2 linked regions of the Elephas maximus indicus genome follow. The protein of the gene in region 1 interacts with the protein of each later gene in a pairwise test. Links are inferred from orthologs where the notes say so. Each region holds a gene or a part of one and is shown in the gene's direction. Other genes may lie near its edges. The genes, in order: CKM and ASB9.

Region 1 (11,656 bases):
CACCCTGTATTCCCCGTGTCCATTCAGCCAGCTTCTGACCCCCTCTGCCTTCTAATCTCTCCTCCAGACAGGAGCTGCCCACATAGTCTCACGTGTCTGCTTAAGCCAAGAAGCTCACGCCTCACCAGTATCATTTTCTACCTTATAGTCCAGTCCAATCCCTGTCTGAAGAGTTGGCTTTGGGAATAGTTCCAGTTTTGGGTTAACATAAGGTCTGGAGAACATGACCTCTGGGGTCCTTCTAGTCTCAGTCAGACCATTAATTCTGGTCTTTTTGCGAGACTTTGAGGTTTGCATCCCACTGCTCTCTTGCTCCCTCAGGGGTTCTCTGTTGTGTTCCCTGTCAGGGCAGTGATCAGTTGTAGCCGGGCACCATCTAGTTCTTCTGGTCTCAGGCTGATGTACTCTGATTTATGTGGCCCTTTCTGCTAAGGAGCATTCTGGCTGTACTTCTTTCAAGACAGATTTGTTCTTTCTTTTGACACTCCATGGTATAGCCAACATTCTTCTCCAACACCACAATTCGAAGGGATCAATTCTTCTTTGGTCTTCTTTATTCATTGTCCAGCTTTGCATGTACATGCAGCAATTGAAAACATCATGGCTTGGGTCAGGTGCACCTTAGTCTTCAACATCTTTGATTTTTAACACTTTAGAGAGGTCTTTTGCAGCAGATTTGCCCAAAGCAATGCATCTTTCGATTTCTTGACTGCTGCTTCCATGGGTGTTGATTGTGGATCCAAGTAAAATAAAATAAAATCCTTGACAACTTTAGTTTTTTCTCCATTTATTACGATGTTGCTTATTGGTCCAGTTGTGAGGATTTTTGTTTTCTTTGCGTTGAGGTGTAATCCATTCTGAATGAAGGCGGTGGTCTTTGATCTTCATCAGTAAGTACTTCAAGTCCTTTTCACTTTCAGCAAGCAAGGTTGTGTCATCTGCATGATGCAGGTTGTTAATGAGTCTTCCTCCAGTCCTGATGCCCAGTTCCTCTTCATATTGTCCACCTTCTCGGATTATTTGCTCAGCATACAGACTGAATAGCTATAGTGAAAGGATACAACCCTGACACACACCTTTCCTGACTTTAAACCACACAGTATCCCTTTTTCTGTTCAAATGACTGCCTCTTGATCTGTGTACAGGTTCCTCATCGGCACAATTAAGTGTTCTGGAATTCCCATTCTCCGCAATGTTATCCATAATTTGATATGATCCACACTGTCAAATGCCAATATGGCATTACTTAGAAATGTATCTTGGCAATCATTCCAAATAAGCATATGTTGTTGTTGTTGTTTTTGTTAGATGCTGTCAAGTCGGCCCCTGACTCATGGAAATCCTATGAACAATGGAACAAAATGCTGCCTGGTCCTGTGCCATCCCTATGACTGATTGCAGATTGGACCATTGTGATCTGTAGAGTTTTCACTGACTGATTTTCAGAAGTAGGTTGCCAGGCCTTTCTTCCTAGTCTGTCTTAGTCTGGAAGCATCGCTGAAACACGTTCAACATATTAGTAACACACAAGCCTCCACTGACAGACAGGTGGTGGCTGCGTGTGAAGTGTGTTGGCCAGGAATCAAACCTGGGTCTCCTGCATGGAAGGCGAGAATTCTACCACTGAACGACCAATGCCCCACAGTATATGTATGTAGATTAACTTTATTTTTTTTAGCAGTTGCATAGTATTCCATCAGTGAATGTCTCATCATGTATCAATAAAAATACTCTTTCAAAAAAGTGATTCTTAGGGCAAAGAAGAAATCATAACAGAAATAGAAAATATTTAGAACAGATCTATAATGAAACTACTACATAACAAATCTGTTAAAGAGTGATCTATTGCTACATGTGACAATATGAATGAATCTCAAGAGACATAATGTTGAGAAAAATAAATCAGACACAAGACAAGACATTCTGTACGATTCTGCTGTTGTTGTTAGCTGCCATCGAGTCGGTTCTGACTCATAGAGACCCTATGCACAACAGAACAAAACACTGCCCTGTTCTGCTCCATCCTTACAATCGTTGTTATGCTTGAGTTCATTGTTGTAGCCGCTGTGTCAGTCTACCTCGTTGAGGGTCTTTAACGAGAATGATTCTACTTATATCAAATTCAACGATTGATATATTCAACAATGTCAATAATTGGATGATACCAATAATTGAAACTCAGTAATTGGTGTTGGAATTCAGGGTAGTGTTACTGTGGAGGGGAGAGGGGACATCAACTGGAAGGGGGCATGAGAGTTTTTAGGGGTGCTGGAAGACCAACATCTTGATTTTGGTGGTGGTTACTCAAGTGTACACATATATAAAAGTTCATCAGGATTAAGGTTAGGGCACTTCACTGACTATAAGTTATACAGAAATGAAAGAATAAATTCAAGAAATAATAAATGAGGCCATCCAAACATCCCAGATTTACTGAAGAATAAGATTTCCAATGTAAAGAATAAAACTGAAATGATAATAGAACGCAAGCAAACAAACAGTTGGTGGGGTGCAGCTAAAGCAGCACCTAGAGGAAAATGGATAGTAAACTGATTTGGAGGGCTGGGGGAGGAGCAGGCATGAAAGACTTGTTGGCTTGCCACCCTCCTCCTCATATTGGGCCCAACTCTGTTCAGCAGATTACAGGGCTGTAGCAGGTCTGGCTTTGCTCTTGGGGGACACGAAGGAGTGGTGGGCAGGCCCTCAACTCTCCAGGTCTGGGGCTGGCCTTGATTTACAACCTGTCTTCCTGAACTGCATGGCATCATAGATGGCCAGGATTGGGAGAGGGATCTGAGGAATGGAAGGGGAGGTCATTACAGGAGTAGTGAGTGCTGTCCTCCCAGGGTCTCCCATCCCCAGCGGAGGGACAGGAACAAGGGACATCCTAGGAAAAAGAGGGCTTGGGCGAAGGGCTGCTCTGCAATGCCAGGGTGGGGTGGGAGTTTGCCAGATGGTGGTAGGAAGAGTTCACTTTTTAGATTTCTAGACATACTGGCTATGAGACCTTGGGCAACTCTCTTGCCCTTTCTCAGCCTCAGCAACCATCTTCTGTAAAATGGGGCTTCAGCATGAAGAAGTGGAATCAGGAAAAGGTTAGGAATACAAACTCAGGGTCTGACTGCCTGGTCCAGACAGTCTGGTCCAGGCAGTCTGCTACTTGCCAGGTGTTTGACTTGGGCTAGTGACTCAACCTCTCTGGGCCATGTTTCATTCTCCTGATTTGTAAAAATCTCATAGGACTTTGGATAATTAAATTAGCCAATACACATGAAGTGGTTGTACCCTGACATCAGATGGCTGGGGCAATGGTGGGGACATGGGAAAGTGGGTAAACATTACCAGGGCCTGATGACCTGGGAAGGAATCCTGAGCTGACAATATAGCCTATGACCTTTCTAGGAGACCTTCAAAAAAATTTTTTTTTCACTAGGGCCTGAACCCACACTCAACGCCCTGTGCCAATTTGACTCCCAGCTCTCCCCCTTCCCAGCTGTGTGTCCTTGAACAAGTCAATCAACTTCTCTGAGCCTTCTTGTTGGGAAGATTATATGAGTTAATATATATGAAAAGCTCTCAGCAGAGGGCTTGACATATAGGAAGTGCTTGATAAAAAGGAGGGTGGAGGAGCCTGTGGAGTGGCCACTGAACATTCACGCCAACCTCCTTCAACCTTCTGTTGATGAAAAAGCCGGAAAGCTAAACATGAGATTTCCCACCGGTAGCATGGTTCTGGAGGCGAGAGGTGTTCCTGGAGGCCCAGCCTAGAACCCCCTCCTTCAGCCCTTCCAATATTTTGTAAGTATCTAATAACCCACAACCCACTGCTGTCGAGTATCTGGTAGTAAATCCCCATCCGTTTAAGCTAGGTAGAAATAGTTTGATGCCTGCAATTGATGGACATGGCTATTACGGTAAAACCTGCAAAAGCCGGAAACTGTAACGCGGAAATCTATCAAAGAAGAAAAATTCAAATATTTTCCACTAATAGAGAGTGATAGAAAAGTGGTAAGACTGCACCCTGTCAAAAGCAGACAACTGGCGAAACCCGCAAAAAAAAAGGCAGCCCCATTGAGTTCCAGCTCTCACAGGTTTCACTGTATTATTTACTTAGTTAACAAAAACTCATTTGCCCTGAGGGCACTGGGGAGCCCTGGCAGGTTCTGAGCAGGGGAGGGACAGGTCAGGTAGGGGGTGTATGGGAGGTTGCAAGACTGAGGAGGAGCTGTGGGGGAGGGGGGGAGGCGGGACTTGAGCCAGGTGGGGTCGTGGGGAGGCAGAGGAGGAACGGACAGGCCTTGCAGACAGGCTCTGAGTGGGCGGGATGAAAACATATGACGGGGATCATGGACCATGATTCATAATTCATGATGCTCCCAAACTGCCATTCAAACAAGGTAAAGCAGCCTCACAGCTCAGGGTCCTGCTAATGCGTCTGATTGGCTCAGCTTAGATCACGTGACTAAACTAGTGCTTCAAGGGATTCTGGGAAACCGAGTTTCTGACGTTTTCAGCTTCTCCAGAGGAGGTGGTCATAGGGTGGGGAATTCTTCAAAAACAGAAAGGGCTTCTGACGCTGTGTGGCGAAAATGTATGTTAAATGCCACCACACAGGGTCATCAGGGGCTCAGGGAGCTCAGGTCTTTCCCTGGCTCACAACCCTCAGTGGCTCCCATCCCATGCACAGTGGAATCTGAACTCCTCCCCGTGGCCCCCGGGACCCAATGGGTCTGTTCCTGGCCCCTCTTCAGCCTGGTCTTCTTCCTCTCATTCTCCGCTCTGCCCAACCACCTGGCTTCTTCATTGTCTTTCAGGCCTGCCAGCCACCTTCCACCTCAGGGCCTTTGCACCTGCTGTTCCCCCCGCCCCCAGACACTGCCTCCAGCTCCCTCCTTTCCTTCAGGTCTGTGTTCAGGTGTCACCTCCTCAGAGAGGCCTGCCCTGACCTCCTTTTCTAAAATAGCTGCTGCTGCACCATCACTCTCATTCCATTATCCTTTCTTATTGTCCTTCAAAGCCCTACTTGCCCCCTGACATTACAGTACATATTTACTTGTTCCATGTCACTAAAACATTCCCTCCATGATGGCAGGAGTTTTGTTTAGTTCCTGCTGTGTCCCCAGTACACACATACACGCCAGTTGCTGTAGAACCGACTCTGACTCCTGGCGACCTGACTCATGGCGACCCCATGTGTGTCAGAGTAGAACTGTACTCCATAAGGTTTTCAATGGCTGATTTTTTGGAAGCAGACCGCCAGGCCTTTCTTCCGAGGCACCTCTGGGTGGACTCAAACTTCCAGCATTTTGATTAGCAGCTGAACACATTAACCATTTGCACCACTCAGGGAATGTTCCCAGCAAGTGTTCAATAAATAATTGTTGAAATGATAAATGCAAAAAGATTTTTGGCCTTTTTTTTTTTTTAAGTTCTGTGGGCCTCAGTTTCCCTAACCGGGAATTAGACCTTTGCCAAGGTGACCTTGAGGGGAAGGGGCCGATGGGTGGAGAGGTCAGTGGCTGGGCCCAAGGAAAAGCTTTTTAAGCCCTCCGTGCACCAACCCCAAACCAGGAATCTGGGAAAGGCAGGGTGGCCCCCTTGCCCTAAGCCAGTCTTCATCTGCTTGAGAAGAAATGGGGGAGACCCAGGAGACATCAGAAAAGGTGGAGACCCTTGGAAGGGAGGCAACATGCTGTTCTCCGTTGCAATCCTGGGCGTTTACTGGAGGAGGCGGCCCCTTCTGTCTTGCAATCCCGGCGCCTCGCAGGCAGAGGAAGCAGCTTCCTCTATGCTGCCTCCACCTACCGCAGAACCCCCTCCCCAGCCCTTGTGCTCCTTGGGTCACATTTGAGGCGCCGAGCGCTCCCGCGACGCCGGGTCTGTGCGAGTCCGATGCCCGCGCTCTGAACCGCGTCGCCGCCCAGCCCCCTTCCCGGGGGTAGGAGCCGCTGCCCAGGGCCGTGGCTGCCCTTGTAAGGAGGCGACGTGCGGGACACCCGAGCTGCCCGGTTATAATTAACCCGGACACGTGGCGACCCCCCCCCCAACACCTGCCTCCCCCACGCCCCCCCATCCCTGAGCCTCGGGGGCTCGGCCTTCCTAGAGGAGACCGGGAAGCGCACTCTAAAAATAACTCCCTTCCGGGGCCGGCCGAGTCCCTCCTGTCCCCTCGGCCGTATCTTAATGACGGAAATCTCCCAGGATGGGGGCAGTGGGGAGGGCCCTGAGTTTGAATCTCCCCTGCTCAGCGTGCCTCAGTTTCCCTCTCACTTCCACACCTACTAGGAAGGAGCATGTAAGCACAGGTCTCGGGGATCAGACTGCCCTGGGTTTCAGTCCCGGCTTTGGTCACACGCCCCCTAGCTGAGTGGCAGCGGACAAGCCACACTACCTCTCAGAATTTGTTTCTTTCTCTGCAAAACGGAATGTCTGGGCTTCCTGAGGTCATTGCTGCAGGGTTTTTTAACACGGTGCAGGTTGATGAAAAAAAAGATGAGGGCTCAGTATTTGCCACTTGCCTGGGCCAAGGGGTTTGCGGGCTGCAGAGAGGCCTGGCAGAGGAAGGGGCTGGAGACTGGCCTTGGCCCAGGAATAGTGGAGCTCAGAAGGGGCAGGTCCCGTGGGCCAGGGGAGGGAGGCTTCTATGTGCCCTATCGCCATCCCATGTCCCCGGCAGGGGGCCAGCTGTCCCCGCCAGCCCGACTCAGCACTTGGTCAGAGGATCAGCTAGAGGGGGGAGCTGAACTGGCCCTTGGGGCGGCCCATACAAGGCCATGGGGCTGGGCGCAAGGCACGCCTGGGTTCAGGGTGGGCACAGTGCCCAGGCAGGGAGCTGAGAGACTCAGCTGCCCTCCAGCCTCCTCCCTGGGGGCAGCGCCTCTCAGCCAATAGCACAGCCCAGACCCCCCCTATATAAGGCCAGGGCTGCAGAACCTGCCTTTGGGTCAGTGTCGCTGCAGAGGATACAGACAGCCCCTTCAGCACAGCCTAGCCAGGTACCATCTAGGGTGGGAGTTGGGGTGGGGTCCAGAGTGGGGGCCCCATGTGCACTAGAGGCTGAGCTAAAGGGGCCTCTTGTGTCTACCCTGCCTGTCCTCTTGTCCACAAGGTTGTCTGAGTGTGGGAAGTGACCTTGTGAGTTTGGGCGTCCCCTCCACCTAGAAGCCCACCTGACCCCCTGTTATGTCTTGTGTCCCTGTGGCATGGGTTTAGGGGGCAGGATCCCAGAAAAGAAAGGGGTTTTGACAGCTTCCAGCTGTTACCCACCACAAGGAGCTATGGGGCTGGGCCTGTGTTCATTAGGGTTTGTCACCAGGACTAGGTACCACAAGCCATGTGGGGTGTCTGTTTGTCACCTGTCGTGGTCTGCAAGAGCAGGTGTGGGAGTGTCTTTGCATTTGCAGCCGTGTGGGTCTCTGTGACCTTGTGTCTGCCTTTCTGTGGGTCCTGCATGGATGCCTGTATCCTGGGTATGTCCCTGTGCCTGCAGGTGTGACCGTATGACTGTTTACAGTGTGGTTTGGAGTGTCCATGGTGAGTGGCTGTCCTTGGCTGTGATGTGTGTGTGGCTCTGAGGCTGTGTCTACTTGTTTCACTTGGGGTCACCCACCTGGCCTCAATACCGTGTCCCAGGGGTGTCCCTGGCAGGGATGGGGTGGGGACACCCTCTGAATGGGAGGGGCTCTGGGCTGGGAGCCCGAGATGTCCTTGAGCACCAAGGCCTGGTTGCGTGTCCTCCCAGCCACCCTGGCCCACCTGTCTCCGGCCTGATGACTTGGTGCAAGCCGAACCCCAGGAATGTGGGGGCGGGGGGCAGCAGCTGAGGGGGAGGAGCCTACCAGACTCTAAAAATAACCCCTACCCTGGGCAGCAACTCCAAAGGTCTTTTGTAGGTCCCCATCGCCACCCTCTGACCTGGTCCCCAGATCCTTCCTACAATCCCATTGGCTCCCCATCCCTGGAGCTGGGCCCCTCCTTCTTTCTGGGGCTGGTGGCAAAAAGTAATAATAGCAGCCATCTCACTGGGTACTGGGCATCTGGTACTCCACGCCAGGGCCTGTGCTCAGTCCCATAGCACCGAGCTGGAAGGATCCTCCCAGCCACCCCATGGGGAAGGCTAAGGTCACAGGAGACAGAGGCTCAGAGAGGCAGAGCCAATAGCCTGGGGTCACATAGCAGGGAAATGGCATAGGTGGGATTTGAACTCAGCCCTGTTGACAGCATGAAGCGCTGGTGGTGCAGTGGTTAAGAGCTTGCCTGCTAACCAAAAGATCGGCAGTTCAAATCCCTCCACCACTCCTTGGAACATCCTATGGGGCAGTTCTATTCTGTGTCCTATAGGGTCGCTATGAGTTGAAATTGACTTGACGGCAATGGGTTTTTTTGGTTTCTTTTGGCACCAGAGACTGAACTTTCCTTCTCAACTGGGCCCTGTAGGACGGTCGTCAGCAGGCACAAGTGGGCAGCCACCAGCCCTCCCTCCCGCCCTGCACTCACTGAGCATCCAAGAATCTTTGGGGCAAGAAGGTCCTTTCTCTGCTCACATACTCATTCCCAGCAATGTCCTCACTTCCACCATCGCACCAGCTCCTCTCACAGACTTAAAACAACAACAACAATAAGTAAAATGCTTATTGTGCGCAAGTACAGCATCGGTAATAATAACTAGGTCAAATAGTGCTTACTGTGTGCCCGGCCTTGTTCCAACTGTTTCCTATGCATTAACTCATTTAGTTCTCACAACACCCTCATGAAGTGGGTGCTGTTATGACCCCCATTCTACAGATGAGTAAGCTGAAACACCCCATCTGTCAGTTTGTAGCACTGTGGTGGCTTGTGTGTTGCTATGATGCTGGAAGCTATGCCACTGGTGTTTCAAATACCAAAAAGGTCACCCGCAGTGGACAGGTTTCAGCAGAGCTTTCAGACTAAGACAGACTAAGAAGAAAGGCGTGGCGATCCGCTTCCGAAAATTAGCCAATGAAAACCCTAGGAGTCGCCACAGAACATTGTCCGATATAGTGCTGGAAGAATGGTGCAGGACCGGGCAACTTTTTTTTTTTTTTTTTAATAATTTTATCCATTTTGTTCCTGTTGCTTTTGAGAACATACTCAGCAAAACATACACCAAGTCAACAATTTCTCCATGTACAATTCGGGGACGTTGATTACATTCTTTGAGTTGTTCCCAGGCAACGTTTTGTTCTGTTGTATATAAGGTTGCTATGAGATGGAGTCGACTTGAAGGCACCTGACAAACAACAAAGCTGAAGTGCAGAGAGGTTAAGCAACTTGCCCAAGGTCACACAGCAAGTAGTAAGTGGCAGAGCTAGGATTCAAACCCATGCTCTCTGCTTCCAGAACCCACACTCTTAACCATATCATGACACTACTCTAGTCTGGGGGTTTTCCCACCCATTTTTCAGCTGGAGGAACTGCATCTCTAGCAAAATTATAGTCCAGGGTCACCCAGCCAGGCTGTCGCACAGCCAGAATCCTAACCCAAGGTTTTCTGATACTTCTTGCCAAGATTCAAAGGCTCAGAGAGGGAACCTTATTTACTCCAAGTCACACAGCACAGGAGTCAGGCTTTGCTCTCGGGCGGGCCTGCCTGCAAAGCCTTGCTCTGTTCCGTTGCTGGCCTCTGCTGGGTGTGGGCTAACCTTCTGTTCCTCCTCTACCCACCAGGCCTACACGCTGCCACCATGCCATTCGGCAACACCCACAACAAGTTCAAGCTGAACTACAAGCCTGAGGAGGAGTACCCGGACCTCACCAAGCACAACAACCACATGGCCAAGGCACTGACCTTTGACATCTACAAGAAGCTGAGGGACAAGGAAACACCATCGGGCTTCACCCTGGACGATATTATCCAGACGGGTGTGGACAACCCAGGTAAGCCTCCTGGGCGATGCCTCCAGACCCACTGTAGCATCAATTCCAAGCACCAATTCTGCCTCCTTGGGCCTCGGTTTTCTCACCTGTAAAATGGGGACCAGCCTTATGGGGCTGCTTGAGAAACCAGTGAGTTAATACGTGTATAGAACTTGAGACAGTACCTGGCACATGATAAACCACTCAATAGATGTATACAATTATAATGTAAGACCCCAAGGAAGTAATTTAATCTGTCTGAGCCTCAGTTTTCTCAGCTGAAAAATGGGCATCCATGTTGTAGGGCTGTTGTGAAAATATATAAGTCAGTGTGTGTCCAGGGCTTGGAGCAGTGTCTGACAGACAGTGAGCACTCAGAAAATGACAGGGGTATTATTAGAGTAAGAGAGCTCTGGTGGTGCAGTGGTTAAGCGCTTGGCTTCTAACTGAAAGGTCAGCAGTTCGAACCCACCAGCTGCTCCACAGGAAAAAAGACCTGGCAATTTGCTTCCGTAAATCTTACAAATCTCTACGGGGCCATTCTACTCTGTCCTATAGGGTAGCTATGAGTCAATGGCACTCAACAATATTACTAGTGCTGTGGCTCTTTCTAGAAGGACACTCCGCAAGGAGACTGGAAGTGGTGGTTGGAGACAAGGTTCTAGTCCTGTCTCACTTCCCGCTCATCTTGTGATTGTGGGGAGAGTCCCCCTCTCTTCAGGTCTCTGGTTCTCCATCTAGGAAACAAAAGGGTTTCCTTTCAAGTCTCATCATCCTGACCCGCTCATAGTCCAAGATTCTCAACATTTTTAGCCTAAGATTTCATGGTTTGGAAACTCCGAGGTGCTAACCCCTGGATGATACAAACTATTAACGTGCTTGGCTGCTAACCCAAAGGTTGGAGGTTCGAGTCTATCCAGAGGTGCCTTGGAAGAAAGACCGGGCAATCTACCGCCAAAAATTCAGCCATCGACAATCCTATAGAGCATAGTTTTACTCTGACACACATGGAGTCTCCATGAGTCAGAGTTGACTCAATGGCAACTGTTTGTTTTTTTTTTTAACTGGCCCGTTGAGGCTCCCCTTTCTTCTTGGCCCTGCCCCAGCACCCTCCCCAACCCTAGATGCCACCTGGATCCTCCCAGCACCCCGCTCCATACTGCTAACCCTCAACCTTCTCAATCCTGATCCACAGGTCCTGAATGAACACCCCCCTCTCCCAACACACACACACATACACACACACTCACACACACTCTTTCTTTCTCTCCCTCTACACTGGCCTCTGATAAACCACTCAGTAAACATACACAATTGTAATGTGAGGCACCAGGAAAGTTATTCAATCTCTCTGAGCCTCAGTTTCCTCTCCTGAAAATTGGACACCTGTGTTGTAGGGCTGTTGTGAAAATATACGAGTCAGTGCGTGTCCAGTGCCTTGGGCAATGCCCTAACTAAGCATCAGGCCTTGTTTGCTGGGGGCAAGCCCGTCTGACCTCACCCCAACTCCCCAGGTCACCCCTTCATCATGACCGTGGGCTGTGTGGCCGGTGATGAGGAGTCCTACACCGTTTTCAAGGATCTCTTCGACCCCATCATCCAGGACCGGCATGGGGGCTACAAACCCACCGACAAGCACAAGACTGACCTCAACCATGAGAACCTCAAGGTTAGTGGCCCAGGGGTGGGGAGAGAGATTACAGGAGAGATGGAGAGAGAGGGAGGAGAAAGAGATGGGGAGAGACAGAGAAAGGAGGGGAGACACAGAGAAGGGCAGAGG
Region 2 (12,094 bases), on another chromosome or scaffold:
TAATCTTTATAGAAGCAGACTGCCACATCTTTCTCCCTCAGAGAGGCTCCTCCAGTGGAGACAGGAAAGTGATTATTTGGGATCTCTCGTAACGAACAAAGTCGATGTGTGGTGCAAAAAGTTAAGCACCACTAATCAAGAGATTGGTCTGAGTCCATCCAGAGGCACCTCAGAAGAAAGGCCTGGTGATCTGCTTCCAGTTGTTCGAGTTACTGCTCGCAAATTGTTGAAATTGCCCAAACCTCCAGTAAAGTCTGAAACATATACAAGTGCTTTGTGCATTATTTTTACAAGATATTGAGGAAGAAGTCTAGATTATTCCTCTGCATCTACATGCTATAGTATATTGGCTGCATTAACTCATTGCTGTTGAGATGACTCTGACTCAGAGTGACCCTACAGGAGAAAGCAGAGCTGCCCCATAGGGCTTCCTAGGCTGTAATCATTACAGGAGCAGATCACCAGGTCTTTTCTCCCATGGAGCAGCTTGTGGGTTCGAACCACTGACCTTTGGTTAGCAGCCAAGCACTTAACCATTGTACCACCAGGGCTCCTTATTGAATGCATTACATGGTGGCAAAACAATACTTAAACTTCCCTGTTTCAGGTGGGACAGTACCTCTTCTTCTATGAGAGATATGACCAGAAAGACAAACTCCTGAAGAAGTTTCACAAATCATGTTGTTGTTAGGTGCCGTTGAGTTGGTTCCGACTCATAATGCCCCATGTATGACAGAATGAAACACAGCCATGTCCTGTGCCATCCTCACAATCATTGTTATGCTTGAGCCCATTGTTGCAGCCGCTGTGTCAATCCCTCTTGAGGGTCTTCCTCTTTTTCACTGACCTTTTACTTTACCAAGCATGATGTCCTTCTCCAGGGACTGATCCCTCCTGACAACATGTCCAAAGTCTGTGAGACTTAGTCTCACCATCCTTGCTTCTAATGAGCATTCTGGCTGTACTTTTTCCAAGACAGATTTGTTCATTCTTTTGGCAGTCAATGGTATACTCAATATTCTTCGCCAACACTACAATTCAAAAGCCTCAGTTCTTCTTAGGTCTTCCTTATTCATTCTCTAGCTTTTGCATGCAATATGAAGCGACTGAAAACACCATGGGTTGGGTCAGGTGCACCTTAGTCTTCAAGGTGACATCTTTGCTCCTCAACACTTGAAAAAGGTCCTTTGCAGCAGATTTGCCCAATACAATGTGTCTTTTGATTTCCTGACTGCGGCTTCCATGGCTGTTGATTGTGGATCCAAGTAAAAGGAAATCCTTGACAACTTCAATCTTTTCTCTGTTTATCATAATGTTGCTTATTGGCCCAGTTGTGAGGATTTTTGTTTTCTTTAAGTTGAGGTGTAATCCATACTGAAGGGTGTGGTCTTTGATCTTCATCAGTAAGTGCTTCAAGTCCTCTTCACTTTCAGCAAGCAAGGTTGTGTCATCTGCATAATGCAGGTTGTTAATGAGTCTTCTTCCAGTCTTGATGCCCCATTCTTCTTCGTAGAGCCCAGCTTCTGAGATTATTTGCTCAGCATACAGGTGAAAGGATACAACCCTGACATGCACCTTTCCTGACTTCAAACCACGCAGTATCCCCTTGTTCTGTTTGAATGACTGCCTCTTGATCTATGCACAGGTTCCTCATGAGCACAATGAAGTGTTCTGGAATTCCCATTCCTCACAATGTTATCCCTAATTTGTTATGAACCACACAGTTGAATGCCTTTGCATAGTCAATAAAACACAGGTAAACATCTTTCTGGTATTCTCTGCTTTCAGCCAGGAACCATCTGACATCAGGAAGATATCCCTGGTTCCACGTCCTCCTCTGAATCCAGCTTGAGTTTCTGGCAGTTCCCTGTCAATATACTGCTGCAGCCGCTTTTGAATGATCTTCAGCAAAATTTTACTTGCACGTGATATTAATGATATTGTTTGATAATTTCTGCATTCAGTTGGATCACCTTTCTTGGGAATAGGCATAAATATGGGTCTCTTGCAATCAGTTGGCCAGGTAGCTGACTTCCAAATTTCTTGGCATAGAGGAGTGAGCACTTCCAGTGCTGCCTCTGTTTGTTGCAACATCTCAATTGATACTTTGTCAATTCTTGGAGCCTTGTTTTTCGGCAATGCCTTCAGAGCAGCTTGGACTTCTTCCTTCAGTACCATTGGTTCTTGGTCATATGCTACTTCTGGAAATGGTTGAACATCGACCAATTCTTTTTGGTATAGTGACTGTGTGTATTCCTTCCATCTTTTTTGATGCTTCCTGTGTAGTTTAATATTTTCCCTATAGAATCCTTCACTACTACAACTTGAGGCTTGAATTTTCTCTTCAGTTCTTTCAGCTTCAGAAATGCCGAGAGCGTTCTTCCCTTTTGGTTTTCTATCTCCAGCCCTTTGCTCATGTCATTATAACACTTTACTTTGTCTTCCTGAGCTGCTCTTTAAAATCTTAGGGAAGACAAATTTCACAAATCGTGGGGAAGGCACAGGCTAGTCCAAAATCCATGGAAGGGGGTATGATTCGGTCTGCCCCAAGGCAGAGTGATCTCAGCTGACAGCCACATTTCAATATATAAAGAGTAATATAGGCTCATGAATTAAAAAAAAAATAGCAAGGGAAATGAATTGGAAATTTACAACGGGGGACATAGGAATAAATAGCCATAAGAAAAATGTTTAAGATGGAAAATGGATTGAGATAAAGGATGGATTTGCAACAACCAAGAAGTCAGGTGAGCCATTGTTAACCATGGAAAGATCAAAAAGAAAGAGTAGAAGAGTCTCTTCCTTTCATAGAGCATTCAGGAATTTGGATGCTTTCCTTCTTTAAGGTTTAAAAATTGTCTCAGGGCAGTAGTTTCAGGGGTTCATCTGGCCTCAATTGCTCCAGAAAGTCTGGATTCCAGGAGAATCTGAAATTCTGTTGTGCATTTCCCCCCCTTTAATTGAGATTCTTCTATAGAATCTTTGATCAAAACACATTCAACAGATATTAACTGTGCTTACTTGTCGGTGCTATTTTGATATACATTCATTCTACTTAAGAATGCCATACTCATCAGCACCAACATTGCCTGACATTAAGCCTTCCTCCCTGCCTGCCTTCCCCGCCCCACCTAATGGGCTTTAAACTCTTCCAGGCCCGCCCGCCCCAGTACGTCAGGGGAGGGTGCATCGCAGATCATCACAGATCATTGCCAAGGTCACGGTTGCAGGGACATTTGCATATGGACTTCATCACCTTCTTCCCTGCACCAGGAGGGATGCACGGATTACACTTGAAGTAGCAGCTTCCTATTTAACATGGAAGTCCCTGGGTAGGGCAAACGGCTAACACACCCCACTGCTAACCGAAAGGTTGGAGGTTGAATCCACCCAGAAGTGCCTCTGAAGAAAGGCCTGGAGATCTACTTCTGAAAAATCAACCATTGAAAACCTTATGGAGCGCAGTTCTACTCTGACACACATGGGGGTGCTGTGAGTCCGAATCGACTCGACAGCAACTGTTTTTTTTTAACATGAGTTTAATCTGTAAAAAATGTACGTCACTTTTTTTCACTTATTAACTTTCCTTCCCTCACTATGTTATATCTTGAAAAATTTCAAGCTTACAGAAAAGTTGCAAGAATAATACAACGAACACCTCTTTGCCCACCACCTCAATTGTTAGCATTTTGCCACATTTGCTTTTCTCTCTACATATGTGTGTTTATGCAGTGGTTAAGAGCTCGGCTGCTAAACTCGGCTGCTAAACAAAAGGTCAGCAGTTGAATCCACCAGCCACTCCTTGGAAACCCTGCGGGGCAATTATACTCTGACCTGTGGGGTCACCATGAGTCAGAATTGACTTGATGGCAATGGGTTTGGTTTTTTGTATGTACGTATATACATTATGTCTTCTCTGTCGTGATAAGTGCATACAATCTTCTCAGCAATGAGCATTGTTACTAAAAAAAAAGAATCATTTATAGACCTCATGTTTACTTGACATGGCTATTTTAGAAATATAGGGAAGGAGAGTTTGGGAGAAACAGTTCCTTAATAATATAAACAACATAGATGTATTAGGTATGTATGTATGCACACAACCTATATAATATATATTTTTTATATATAAATCACACATAATTTGTATGATTAGTACACACACATGTTTTTGTTTTACTGAACCATTTGCAAGTATGTTGCAGACATCATGATTCTTCTCCCCGAGGCCTGGGATTAGGGTGGGGCAAGCCAGACACTCACATCAGATACAAAATTTAAGGGGGCACCAAAAACTCAGCCATCGAGATAAATAATATTTCAGTGCAATCTTTTTTTCAAAATCAGTATGATGACCGAAATATCACCCTGCCTTATTGTACAATGAGAACAGTGTTTCCAATTAGGCCTTGGCTCTGGGACACGAGGTCGCTGGGTTTATGAGGAATGACAACAGTGTTCGAACAGACTGGGCCGTATGGGCCTTTATCTATACTCATGTTCTTTGACTACAGAGTTTGTATTAACTTTTTCCATTTGGTGCAAAATGTCTATATAGGGGCACACATTTCACCTCTTGCAAATGACTAAGCACTCCACTACTAGCCGAAAGGTTGGTGGTTCGAATACAACCAGAGGTGCCTTGGAAGAAAGGCCTGGCGATTTGAAACGTCACAGTCTTGAAAATCCTATTCTACTCTGATACATGCAGTCACAATGGGTTACTTGATGGTAACTCGTTTGGTATGGTCTCGGATCCTAATTTTAAAGGAGCATCTTTGTTTAATGGAATTTTATTGAGTAATTGTAGATTCACATGCAGTCATAATAAATAATACAGAGAGATCTCGTTTACACTTTGTCCAATTTCCCCCAGTGGTAGCATTCTGCAGAACTCTAGCACAATATCACAGCCAGGAAATTGCCATGGATACAATACACTGATCTTACTGCAGTTCCCCCAGTTTTACTTGTACTCCTGTGCATGTGTCTTTAGGTCTATATCACGCATGTACGAGCATTCCTTTGACTCAACTTTTCCGCTCTTAAGAAGCTCTCCTCCAGAAATATTTTATATGTGCACAAAAATATGGACTTCAGTGCCTTTGTAGTAGTAAAACAATGGAAACCTTCTGCCTCTATCATTAAGGGAATAACAAGGAATATGGAATGCCATGTAGTCGCGAATAAAAGGAGCATTGAAATGGAATGTTCTCCAAGATATAATAAGTGTGAAAAGCGTAGAACATGATAGTATATTTACATTGATGTGAAAATGGAAAAGGATAAATGTGTATACATGTCTGCAACCAAACCCCCAAACCAAACCTGTTGTCATCAATCAATTCTGACTCACAGCGAGTCTACAGGACAGAGTAGAACTGTGCCATAGGGTTTCCAAGGAGTGGCTGGAGGATACAAACTGCTGACCTTTGGGTTAGCAGCCAGGCTGTTAACCACTGCACCACCAGGGCTCCATACATATCTGCAGGAGAATGCTTTTTAAAAGACAAAGGACACTTCTTAGTTAACACTGGTTACCAAGTGCCCCAACTGGGATTCTTAGATCTGAAACAATGAGGCTACAGTCTTGGCTTTAAAAAAATCAGCAATCATTTCACAGCCAGACTAGCCTGGAGAGGAACTGGGAGCCTCCCCCCACCCAAGAATCCCCTTCACCTGGAAGACAGGAACAGAGGGGGTCTGTTGGGAGGCATCAGCCCAAACCAGCACCCGGAGTGCCATGACACTGGGCCCATCTGAAAAGACAGATCTACAGAAAACCCAAAGAGTTTGTAAAGGCAAACCTATGAAACCTTGACAAAGTAAACTTTGAAAATTAACAGTTAAGGGAAAGATGGCTGCTCCCCCCTCCCCCTCCCCTCCACCCCCACCCAGCCCTCACCCCAGGCCACTCAGCAACCCATTTTCCCAAAAGCAACCGTTAATTATTTATTCAGAAGTTAAAATAAAGCCTGTGGGTGGAGGAAGGGTAAAGGGCAACGTTTAATGAAAACTTTGCAGATGGAAGGAAGAAAATAAAAGTTCTTTCGAAATGTGCATTTTCGTAACATATAGACACATTTTCTCATAAGGAACTCCCAGCAAAATTGAAACCACATGTGCGAGGAGATGGTGGGGCTGTGAATATTCCCGGGTGAGCCAGTCAGCAGGGCTGTGGCATAGACCCTGGACTTCTCAGCCCCTGAGCCTGCAAAAAAACAACGAGTCTCAGCTGGGAAGTGGGGGACAAAGTGGCAGCCAGTGAGCTGTTGCCGTCATCCCCACCCTGTTCTCTTCAGTCTCCAAAGTTACAAACTGTGAGTTTCTTTCCTGATAAACTTCAAGGCTTCCTCACTGATTGGTCTCAGTTTTGGAAAGGACGTGACATCAGCAAGACTTGGGGCTATGGGCTGTTTTGAGCTTTGGCTAGCCTCCAGCCAGCTAGGTGAAGCGCGAGTGTGCGTGTGAGTGTGTGAGTGTCTGTGTGTGTCTGACCACAGGTACGACTCCGGTTACTGCTGCCTGGACTGCTCCTGTTGCAGACGTCTGGCCAGGACGTGTGACTGCTGCTCAGACAGCCACCGAGAGCTGCAACTTCCCGGGGGAGGGGGTGTGTGGAATTTGGACTTTCCTGAGCAACTGAAGTGGAGCTTAGAGCTTGCCCAGCCCAGGAGAGCGCAATGGATGGTGAAGGAGGCAGCAGAAACGACAGCAAGTCCCTGGGGCCAGAGCCCCTTCCTGACACCAGGCTCCTTTCAAACCCACTGATGGGGGGTGAGTTACAAGGGCACTGGGGAGGCTGGCTAATGGGCTTGGGAGAAAGGGGCTGGGGTGACTTCAGTGGCAGTTACTGGGTGGATGTCCACAGCCAGGTGATACATGTCCTTTACATGGTTGTTCAAAATGTGGACACCTATATCCGCAGAGTACTATAGAAGATAAACATTCAGTTTTCACAGATTTTTCTCCAGCTGAAACTTCAGCTCCGAGGAGCCACTCTTAATGGGTCAAATGCATCACGTATTAAATCGGAGGTTTACGAAACTGCTTACAATTAGGAAAGCTTTCACTGCTACGACAGTTCTCCTATTAAGAGGTTGGAGGGATTTGGCATTTAGGTGGGGCTGGGTTTATAATTGGTGTTCAAACATTGCACCCTGGTTGATTCATTTTAAAAGGGGATTTTTTTTTTTAACTTTGGAGAAGTGACTTACAGGTATAATTCTTACCTTCATAAAAAAATTTTTTTTTTTTTTGGAGTGGTGCCTTTGTATGGAGTGGTGCCTTTGCAAATGCACAGAGTCCCATGCCTCTGGGACTGTCACATGCCTGCCAACAGGTACGTGCTGGCTAAGAGGACTCTGAAAACTAGGTCTAGGCAATAGAACCAAAAAAAAAAATCCCAAACCTGTTGCCATCAAGTCAATGCCAACTCATAGTGACCACACGTGACAGAGTAGAACTGCTCCATAGGGTTTTCTAGGCTGTAATCTTTATGGGAGCAGATTCCCAGGTCTTTCCCCATGGAGCCACTGGGTGGATTTGAACCACCAACCTTTCAATTAGCAGCTGAGCGCCTAACCATTGCACCACCAGGGCTCCTTTTGCTCCTGTATGTTGTTGTGCGCTGTCAAGTTGATTCTGACTCCTGGCGATCCAATGTGACAGAGTAGAACTGCCCCATAGGATTTTCTTGGCTGTAATCTTTATGCAGGCAAATCGCCAGGCCTTTCTTCTGTGGCACCATTTTGTTGGTTTCGAACTGCCAACCTTTAGGTTAGCGGTCGAGCACAAACTGTTTGCACTGCCCAGGGACCTCTAGGCAGTTAGTGGAGTAGGGATTATTATGTTCAGCATCCTGGTAGGCTGCCCACAACACCTGACAATTGGACTGGCAATAACCAGGGACTCTGCCATCAACTACAACACTAAAAAAAAAAATTAATCACCTACTTCGCGGTGCTGAAAGGGCAAACAAGAAATAAATATAAAACACCTTCCTTCTGACTAATTGAATGAGTGAGGCTGCTCATTCATTCATTTATTTATTCAGTTTTACTCCTAAAATGAGCAGAACACTCAACAGTGAATAGGATTTGGACCCACAGAAGCAGAACTGGATCAATCGGTTGATAACATTGAGCATGAACTTGGGCCATAAAGAAAGCAGGGTGGCACCGAAAAAGCACTTTTTTAAGAAAGAACTTGATAAATATATTTTTAAAGCAGCAAATCAACCATTATGGGAAAGAATCAGTAATTTGGTTGACCTCCACGGGATTATTTTACCGCTAAGTATTATGTTTATTTTTATTTCTAAGCCCCTTTTCACTGTTTAGGGTCTGTAAAGGTCCGAATCCAACCCTGGACGGGGTGGCGTGGGTGAGTGAGGGTGGACAGGCATCATACTAGAGGGCATGGGACTTGGTAAGTGAAGACACTGTCACCACTAGAATGCAGAGTGTCTTAGGGGGTCCACTGAGGACACGTTTGGAGAGACGGAGCCTGATCATGCAGCTTTAAGAGCTAGGTGGGGGAGTTTAGCCCTCATGAGGCAGGGAATTGGGAGCCATTCATGGTTATGGAGCAGACCTAGCAGTAAACAGAATATATAACAGTATGTCAATTAGTGTGTTAGCCACACTCAGGATGGACCGTGGAGGGCTCACAGGGTATCCTTACACGAAGCCACTGGTTCAGACTTGGCAAGAGCATCAGGCTCACCTGGAGGGTATGTAAAAATGCAGATGGCCGTGCCCCCCACAAAGATTCTGACGCAATTGAGGGACTGGGGCAGAGCCTGGGAATCTGTATTTGTAACAAGCTCCCAAGTGATGCTGCTGGTGTTGGTCTGGCGCCCACACTTTGAGAACCACCGCATGAAGCTTAGACTTGGATCCTGCTATGGAAACCGACAGAGAAAGGGAAAATATGAGTGTTATTTCAAAGGAAAGAACAATCAGGCTATGGTGCTTGATTAACTATTCGGGCTAAAGACAGCCAAGACTGTAAAGTTTTCCAGACTAAACTAATGTCAGATAAGGGGGCTAGATAAGAGAGAAGTTGGGAAGGGGAGTTGGCTTGGGAGCAGAGTGGGGGGGGTGGTGGCGTAAGAAGTTCTGTTTTGAACACAAAAGTGACAGTGACGATGCCCAATGGACAACATGAACACGAGGAACTAAGGCTCGGGAACAAATACAGGCCAGGAGTCGGAGACTTGAGGATGTTCGGGAGGGGGCTGTGATTGAAACCCTGGAGAAGGAGAATTGTCTGATGGCCAAGAGCTGAGGGCCAAGGATGGAGCCCGAGACAGGCCTCCAGTGGAGAACAGAGGACCAGAGAAGCAAGAAGAGACTCTGACGCTGAAATGCCCCAGGATGGCTCCATGGTAGAATTCTTGCCTTCCATGCGGGAGAGCTGGGTTCAGTTCCCGGCCAACACATTCCACGCACAGCCATCACCTGTACCTTCTGCGTGTTGCTATGATTCTCAACAGATTTCAGCCGAGCTTCCAGACTAAGACAGAGTCACTGCCCCCTTGAAGCCTTCCCAGACTTGCTCCTTCTCCTTACCCAGGGGATTCTCTCCCTGTTTGGTGCTGGCCCTGCCCCTTGGACCAAGGCTTAATCATAGCCGGATGACGTTTATTTGTTTCTCAAGTCTTGACCTTGGTGAAGTGTGGAATGTGGAGCACTCGGAATGCTGTTTCCAAATGGCCCTGCCGAGAAACTCAGCTCAGGTGAAGCATATCCCTGGAAAAACATGGGGGAAGTTGAGGGAAAACAGAGACGGGGGTGCAGGCAGGCTTTTCTCCGCCTCCCTCTTGGGAGGAAAGGATATGAAGCTGGGCAACCAACTCTCCGTAGAGGCTTGTTTAATGTTCAGCTCCTACCCCAGGAGCAGGAAAAAGATGCCCCCACCCCACCCCGGGAAATACCTACTCAGAAATTTTGGAAAACACTTTGAAGAATAAACGACCACCCATAATCCCGGAGACCAGGTAATCACTCTTCCCACTTTCAGTGTCTGTCCTTCATGTTTCTACCTACGCTCCTGTGGAGATAATTTTTTCCTCAAAAAATTGAGCCCACGCTGTAGAGTTTTCACATTTAAACAGAAGACAGGCAGGAATAGACAGCGAAAGGGGAAAACTTTCTTCTCTTGTGGTAGATTTTTAGGCGTTGGACATCTCAGCAGGGGCAACTTTTCTGGAGGAAAACCTTACTGATCAGATAGGATGGGCGATGAGGCGAGGTTCCTATGAAGAAAGCAGCGCCTTATAAGAGAGAGGGGGAGGGAGGGAGAGAGCTGTATGGTAGACCTCCTTGCCCAAGAGTTAATGAGGCCATGCCTCAGTGGGCCTTTCCGTTTACCTCTATTTCTCCTTTTCTCATTTGTCCTGGAATCAGACCAAGGTCCCCTGTAATCACCAACCCCAGAACTTCCCCAGTGTTGGTGCGTGCCACTGAAGCCACCCTTATCAACACCAAAGGACCAAAGGCAAACGCTCCTGCCCCCAGAGCAGCCCAGCCTCTTGTTCCTGTCCCTGACCTTGCAAGATGTTTCCCAGCATGCTCTGGGAGACTGATGCTACTGCCCAGCATGAGGGGGGCTCTCAGAGCTTCGTTAATAGCTCTCTTTGAAATGTACCTATTGCTGCATTTTAAATCACTTCTGAAATAATGGAAAATTTAAAATTCATTCCAGAAATTGCAATAAAAATGAAATGGCAGCCTTTCTAATGTGCTGCAGGGTTTGATGGATACACAGTTGAAAAGTCTTCTAAATGAAAGGTGAGTTTAATGGAGCTAAATCGGGGGACTTGGGGAATAGTTTCCTTCCGAGAGTCCCCAACCCCATTTTAACCAGAAGTTCTACCACAGGATCCATGGTGCTGCCAGTGACCCCATTTGGTGTCTACTTTTTGGCAGCAAAAGCAACAGACCCTGGCTGAACAAGTGTTGTGGAAGAACCTGCAGCATGGGCTCAGGATTTGGAGAACACATCTTGTATAAAGATAATGGTCTTCGAGTTTCAAAGACTTCGGTGGGGCCAACAGAAAAGGGGATGGTGACCTTGAGAGTCCCCTTCATCCATCAAATAGTCTCCTACTATGAGCACCGGCCATGTTCTGCCAGGAACAGGCTCTCTTTCTGGCTAATTCTGGCCTCTCCAGCTGTCAGTGAGTAGGAAGACAGGTGGAGCTGCTCCTGGGTTTAACTGTGGGCAGCTAGGGCCTGGAGCTCATTGCCTGCTGGGGTGTGGGCTCTGGAGAAGCCTCTCCCTATCGGGCCAGGCCAGACCCTCCATGGTTCACCCCAGGTGCACTTCTCGACTCTCTCTTCAGTGATTTCAAGGGCTGAAGAGACAGTGTGTGGACTCATCCATATTGCACGCTATGATGTTCACTAAATTTCACACACACACACACACATGCAATCTATGCTCACTGAATGATAGAAGACTATCAACCTGTACCCACTGTCACAATTTTAAGAATTTACATAAGCACTCAGTTGTTGCAAGGCCTGCTGAGGAGAAAGTCCTTGTGTCAATTTGAGATGGACTGTAACTTCACAAAGGCCTGAGTTTTTCTTTCGTGCAGGAGCACAGGCATACTGTGACAGGCTTAGAAGGGGTAACCTCAGACACTGCTGGTGGGAATGTCAAATTGTTACTCTGGAACTGTAACTAAAGGAGTTCCTCAAGAGGTTAAACATAGGGTTAGCATACGACCTAGCAATTCCGCTCCTAGGTATATACCCAAGAGAAATGAAAACATATGTCCACACAAACACCTGTACACCAATGTTCATGGCAGCATTATTCACAATAGCCAAAAAGTGGGAAAATCTAAATGTCCATAAAAAAAATTAAAAAAAATTTTTTTTTTATGGATAGGCTGACGAATAGATAAATTAAATGTGCTCTATTCCTACTATGGAATATTAATCATCCATAAAAAGGAGTGAAGTACTGATACGTGCTACAACGTGGATTAACCTTGAAAACACTATGCTAAATGAAAGAAACAAGTCACAAAAGACCACATGTTGTATTTTGCATTTATATAGGGTTGCTATCAGTTGGA

Evidence for each region.
Region 2: the proteins of CKM (region 1) and ASB9 interact in binary tests that used the Homo sapiens proteins (3 or more experiments, as listed by UniProt). The two-hybrid records come from large-scale screens. The link is inferred for Elephas maximus indicus from reciprocal best matches to the Homo sapiens genes CKM and ASB9.

What each region holds. Positions count from the first base shown.
Region 1 is NC_064829.1:104,383,618-104,395,273, forward strand, and holds the start of CKM (creatine kinase M-type), read left to right. Parts: upstream 1-6,954; 5' UTR 6,955-6,995; intron 6,996-9,687; 5' UTR 9,688-9,704; coding exon 9,705-9,897; intron 9,898-11,390; coding exon 11,391-11,545; intron 11,546-11,656. UniProt on the Homo sapiens protein: Reversibly catalyzes the transfer of phosphate between ATP and various phosphogens (e.g. creatine phosphate).
Region 2 is NC_064846.1:164,318,946-164,331,039, forward strand, and holds the start of ASB9 (ankyrin repeat and SOCS box protein 9), read left to right. Parts: upstream 1-6,439; 5' UTR 6,440-6,683; coding exon 6,684-6,777; intron 6,778-12,094. UniProt on the Homo sapiens protein: Substrate-recognition component of a cullin-5-RING E3 ubiquitin-protein ligase complex (ECS complex, also named CRL5 complex), which mediates the ubiquitination and subsequent proteasomal degradation of target proteins.